2 linked regions of the Drosophila melanogaster genome follow. The protein of the gene in region 1 interacts with the protein of each later gene in a pairwise test. Each region holds a gene or a part of one and is shown on either strand. Other genes may lie near its edges.

Region 1 (3,018 bases):
AGCTGCCCACCAGACTGCTCAGATCGCAGTCGAAACTTGCGGACAGTGTGTAGGCCTTGTTCATACTGAGGACCTCTCTTAGCGTGATCAGGAGCAGCTCCCGGGACTCATCCAAGTTGATGCTATCGATGGCCACGCGTATGCGCGCCATCATGTTCAGGATGCTGATGCTGTGCACATTGAGCTCCTTGGCGTGCAGGACGATCAGGTTGGTGATCGCGTTCAGCTGGAACTGAATGGACACGGTTCCCTCACAGGCGCCGGTCGTCAAGTCGGGATGGTAGTACACCTTGTACTTGATGGGCGTCAGTTCCGTGGGCAGGCGCCATTCGATCTGCGGGGTCGTAAAGTTTATTTAATATCCACGCCATCGATAATGGGCTTTGGCCCTATTAAGTGAGCAATGCGTTGATAAGGTGGCGATAGGAAATAGCACTGTTGTGGTCAGGTCGTAAACCAAGTGGACGTCGTTGCAACAAATATGCCTTAGCTGGATATAGTGGCTAAATGTTGTGAAATTAGGGTCCTAATTTATTAGGTGCAATTTCAGATATCAAACAACAATAGCTCTACTACACAAATATTGAAACCTAAGCGTATTTTGGTTTCTTATCCGTTTGCCTTTATTGCTTTATTGCTTTAACCATTTTTGGAAATAGATATGGATTTGAAAGCCATCTTTTTGAATGTTTGCCAGCACCCTAATTCTTATGAATTTCTTTCCGAAATGGTGGACAACAAGTGGCTTTGAATGTATTCCTCCAGAACATCCAACATCCTTTTGGCTTCGTCCAACTGCAGCAATAAATTATCCCTGTGGACGGCCACAATGACAAGGGCAACGATCAAGCAGGTCGATAATAGACCAAAGAATATAGCCACGCGCTCAGCGGTGATCAAGTCTATGAAAATATACATGAATCGGTATCGGTGTTTTCCCAAAACTTCCTTCGTTATCAATAAATACCCTTAATCCTGTCCTGCATGTGTCCCATTTTTGTGGCTCCTAACACTGCGTTAGCCGCAATTAAACTAACTTAAAAGACCCAAGAAATTAGACCCGTTTTGTATTATGATAAAAAAGAGGAAAAAAAACGCTAGCCAAGCGATAAGCACTTGAAATGACCAGTAAGACTAAGTTGGAACTTAATAAATTCGAAATTAGTAGCCATGCCGACTTTACGTCTAATCGCTGAAAATTTTCCCACTCTGTGTGAGGGTTTTTCTGAACTAACATCTTTTATAGCCGTGAAATATATTTTTCTTGCACTTCACTCACCTTTTCAGGATCAGGAAGTCCTGTCGGCAATGTCGGATAGATGGGATTGGTGGTGCTTCCTGTACTGGATGATGGCGAAGTTTCACCACCCGGAGATGTTCCTGCACTGGGGGTTGTGTCACCTCCTACGCCAGGTGTGGTGGTAGAGCCAGGCTCGGTGTCATCCGTGGGCCCATTGGGATTTGCAGTGGTGGTGGTCGTGGAAGTGCTGGTAGAGGTGGAGGACGTGGACGTGGTGTCCACCGTCAATGCGTCGATCTTATCGAGGGCATCCTGCAGATCGTTCTCCAGGTCCGCATTCTGAACGGCCAGCACAATCGTGGCCACACAAAAAGCAGTAGAGGCCAGGCCCAAAAAGATGGCCACTGACTTAACCGTCAGCCCTAAAATGAGTTCACATTAGTTACTGTTCCTTCGGGATATGCTACTCTATATAGAAGACTCACAGGCAACCATTTTTAGGGATATTCTTTTTTCGATGAAAATTACTCGACTGCTTCCACTAGGCTGGAAGCCAAATTGGAAACTGAATGCAAGTTGCGAATCTGACCCCACAATTTGGACTTGATAAACCTGATCAGATTGCTGACCGATATCTAGACTATATACTATATAGCTTCGTGTCCAGATAAAATCGTTTTATGCTAGACCATTACTTTTACGATTCGAACAAGGCCATATATCGACTATTATGACTGGACACTCTAATTACTCAGGATAATTACGCATGGTCATGATTCCGCATTGACCATATACTCAAAGACCCTATCTCCAATTATTTCCTAGAAGCTATAGAAATCCCCACTTGCCTCGGATAAAATGAATGAAAATATGGGGGTTGTATTTATGGTTTGATTTTGAAATTTCATTTTATTGAACTCGAACGGAATTTTCGCTTATGCAACTCTAATTATTGGCTAAATGGCCAGTTTATATACAATATACAATTTTACAATTGGTTTTTCTTGGTCAGCGGCGAGGCCGTTCCACTTAGCCAGTCGGTGATGTCAGCTTCGTTTCTGGATAGCCATTCGATGTTGTACTTGATGGTTTCCACGGCCTCCAACCGGGAGTTAGCTCCAGCTCCCGATTCGGGGTACTTGGAGAAGAAGTGCTGAACCTCCTCCAGTTTCACGGAGCTGGCAAAGTTGGCCGTAATCTGGGCGATAAGTCGTCCAAAGTTGCGGTTGTTCAGGCCAAAACGGGTGGTGAGTTGGGGCCACTGTTCGCGGTAGAATTCCCAGACCACCGGTTCACCCACAGGATTGGCGGCTATGTACTGCACACAGGTGAAATAGTCCTGGGAGCGAACGATGCTCTCATCACTGGAGGCCTGTGCCAGGAAGTCGAACAGATACTGGCTGTTCCGTACGCCAGACAATCCGTACATCAGCTTCAGTTTCTCGCTGGCATCGGTTTCGGCCACAAAGAGTTGGAACAACTGATCCCAGCTCGATTGGCTGGTGGACTGCTGCATGCCGTAGTAGTAGACAATCTCGCGAAGATCGGGGGAAGGTCGAGTGGTCGGATTCTCCAGGAAGGTGCTGAAGCGCTCGGAAGCCTGCTGCAGACAATCTGGAACACCCAGGGCACAGGCGGCGGTCAAAATGGAAACACGCAGGCGGCTGCAAAGGAATAAAGATTGTTTGAATAACAGTAGTTTGAGTAATGTTTTCAGAAAAACAAGTTGGTACTTATATACGTACTTCTTCAAGTGATTGTCGGCGTCCACAGTCCAA
Region 2 (3,572 bases), on another chromosome or scaffold:
CTTCCTGTGGGCCAAGTACAAGGCCATTACCAATTCCAAGTCCACCGCCGAGGACGACGTCAAGGATCAGCAGGCGATTGCGCGCGAATGGAAGAGTCCATGCTTCCACTGGCTGGCCAAACAGGCTTTCGACGAGCTAGTGGTAAGTTGGTAACATAGTCATGCAGCCTATTTCATACTAACTAACTCCGACCTTGCTTTTTATAGGCAATCAGCGAAACCGAATGGAAAGACCATCGCACTGTCTTTCCCTCTATAGAGTAAAGTAATTTGGAAACTAGACACCTCCCCTCCTTCTCAACAGCCGAATATGCACTGGACCCATCAAAGGAGGAAATAGAGCGTGGGTTCTTCTTCAGCATTATTTTATGGATTGTATGAGTCTGCATCTAGTTGTATTAGAGACCTTTATTATTGCACACATGAAGAACCATCCTCTTGACTTTAAGAAGTAGATTGTAATTATGTCGCAATGCTTTTACAAATAAATAACTTACCCAGATGGGCGTCTCTTGCGCCCTGGGAAATAACTATAATACTGATCAGAAACGTTCTTCCTATTTGGAAGGTCCGATAGCAATTATGTCTTGTATCTTCAAAGCATGTATTTTGGCGAGATATAAACTCAAGTTCATGAAATCTGTATGTATACAAATGACGCTAGAAGAATCCTATTGATAAAGAAGTAGATTGTAATTGGAATGAATAATAAATACATAACCAGCACAGAAACTGTTTTGCCTCAGCAAAGGGTAACCGAATTATTACTTCAGACAAATTAACAAGATAAGATATGAAAATATTGAAAATGTGTAATAAGATACAGTGGCTTAGTTAATATGTCTTTAACAATTTTATTGCCAGCAACAGAGGGTTTCACAGAGTGTTCATAGGTGTCTTTAATTTCTAGGTTACAATAGATTTGAATCCAATTCAGACTGGCTTATATAAGCATGGTTTTTGGCGTAGAAACTAAGCGCCCAGCTGCTTGTAGAGGATGGGCACATAGTCGTCGTACTCAGCCTGGTAGAGGTTACCGGCAATGGGATTGCCGAGGGCGTACTTCTTGGCGAACTCGGCGATTTTGAAGCCACCGCGTCCATCTCCGCTGTTATTGGGCAGTCGCTTCTCGTCGAATGTGAGCTTGCACCGCTGCTCGTAGATCAGGAAAACGTAACGATGGAGTCCGGTGTCTGGTGGAGGCCCGGATCCCACGTAGGCGGAGAGAACCTCGCCCTTGGCGACATCTCCACCGGGTATGTTGCCCACCAGCCAATGGTGCCACTCCCTAAACTTGGGATCCTTGCGACTGGGCGCATCCGGATCGGTCATGCAGAGGGTGTACAGCTTATTGGCGTCCGCCTCCCATTTCACGCACGGCTCATCCTTCACCTGGGTGGGGGTCAGGACCTGACCCGGCTTCACGACAATATCGCCGGGATATTCCACCACAGCTGTCTGCGCCGGTGCCTTGGCGATCACATCCGGAACTACGCAGTGCTCCTCCATTGTTTTGCCTACTTTTTCGCAAGAATACTGCCGCTGAGATGCGATAAATGCAAAGATTGGTTTCGGTTCCTTGGTTAGGATAGAATTGCTAAAAGTTTTCAGCGTTCTAATGGCGGCCGGAAAGTTGACAGCTGAATAATTGACATTCACACCGGTTGATCGGATGTAATCTTTTCTAAATCCATTTAAAGCGCTGCGATTGAGATTACGCAACACCCGGAGCCGCATACAAATCATCCTTATTGCTTAAGTAAACCAAATTGGATTAATTAAAAAACTGTTTATTGTTCTATTTGCCGACTGACAATCGATAAGTTGCGATTCACCTGTAAGCGTTTAAACGTTTTTATCGCTATCGATAGGAATGTGTGATTTTGAATTTCTAATCTTCGAAAATATTTGCGCAGTCTACTTGAGAAAAGCATTTCCGGGAAATGAAAATAAGGCTGTGAGAATACTATAAGCAACTGAAATCATCATGGCTTGGGTTCCCACATCACGATTCGAGCACGATCTGGTGCAGTTGGAGCCGCACTTTAATCTGGTCCATGGACAGATCGCCTATGAACTGAGGAAGAAAGAGGAATTCTCAGAATCCGTTCCCATTCATACCTATGAGCTTTTGACAGCCCGCGAGGATCTGCTTGGATATGGCACGCGGGGTGGAAAGGGCCGAGAGATTCGTCAAAGTCTGCAAATGATGGAGACGATTCAGAGAGTAGCTGGCACCAAGCCGCTGGGAGAGCACGCCACAATGGAGGACTGGGAGGACACCACAATGGTGGACGTGGAGGCGATTGCCATCATCCGGAACTTCGGAAGAATGACCCTGAAACAGGACTCACTGACACTCCAGCCGCAGATCAGCTTACCTGCGGTTGCTCCAAATGAAAGCCAGCGATTTCCTTTAATCACAGATCGCGACTTCTTCACGCCACGAAAGATTCGTAGACCAAAGGATCTTCCGCCAGTGGAGAACAGTCCGGATAACTCAGCCGATGACTCATTTCACACCGCTAAAAGTCTGAGCAACTGCATCTGGCTGAACGGATTAAAATATCCAGATAAGACCAGCAAGGGCGAAATTCAGAATACATAGATACTTCATTAAATTACTAACTAACAAACCTTGAAAATAACTTGAAGATTTATTTTACTAAATCCGATTGAGCATGTACTCACATTATTTGCAATGAATATTGTCGTTCGATTTGGAACGACCTACATTTACCAATGTAGTAGAATATTTTAATGGTTTTTTTTTAGTAATACATAGATACGAATATCATATCAAAAATCAAAAAATAAAACTACAATTACAAATCGTTTTCATTAAGTCGTGTTTAATATATGTAAGTGTAACCTAAACCTATGTGCTTATGCTAGCGAATGTATGAATAACAAGAGTGAAGGAACAATAAATGGAAATGATGAGATGAAAGTGATTGCAGGTGATATGCACAGATATTTGGACCAATGCCTCGTTTACGGAGTAAAGCAACCTTGTCTTCAGGTCAGCCGCTGCAAGGGATGTAACTAGACCTGGTAGCGCTGCTTGTGTCAGGCCTTCCGGAAGATGTCGCTGGATCCGTAGGACAGCCGCCGTTCCTTGGTATTGCTGGTGACCAGCACCTCCTCGTCGAACTGCGACACCCGCTGCATTTTCGGTCGCATCAGTCCACGTACATCGTTCAGCGATATATCAATATCTCTGAACGCGTTGAGCAGGAACACAGCTGTGATAACGATCAGGAAGCCGCACACATCGCCGAGAATATCATCGAACCGCATGTGGGTGAACTCCTTGAAGAGGATGGCAGACGCAGCTATCACCAGGGTGGTGAACATTACATAGTACACTGGAGTAACTATACTAGTATTGAATATATCCAGCGCCTTGTTCAGATAGTTCATCTGGATGGCTATGAAAGTGACGGTGACCAGGATCAGGAACCATGGCATCCATGTGAGGAAGACGTTGCCTCCGTTATTCAGCGTCTGCCGTATGGCTAGGCCCAATGCCTTGCAGGACATCACAGTCAGAGATCCGATGCCGGAGCACA

Evidence for each region.
Region 2: the proteins of CG43208 (region 1) and CG6180 interact in a two-hybrid assay, tested with the Drosophila melanogaster proteins (one large-scale study listed by BioGRID).

The regions. Positions count from the first base shown.
Region 1 is NT_033777.3:13,301,442-13,304,459, reverse strand, and holds CG43208 (uncharacterized protein), read right to left. Parts: upstream 1,035-3,018; 5' UTR 996-1,034; coding exon 968-995; intron 903-967; coding exon 709-902; 3' UTR 604-708; downstream 1-603. Other genes in the region: CG8774 (uncharacterized protein), read right to left, coding at 2,229-2,904, 2,986-3,018.
Region 2 is NT_033779.5:12,705,945-12,709,516, reverse strand, and holds CG6180 (uncharacterized protein), read right to left. Parts: upstream 1,857-3,572; 5' UTR 1,747-1,856; coding exon 973-1,746; 3' UTR 837-972; downstream 1-836. Other genes in the region: CG5787 (uncharacterized protein), read left to right, coding at 1-142, 208-264; CG15484 (uncharacterized protein), read left to right, coding at 1,988-2,608; spict (spichthyin), read right to left, coding at 3,070-3,572.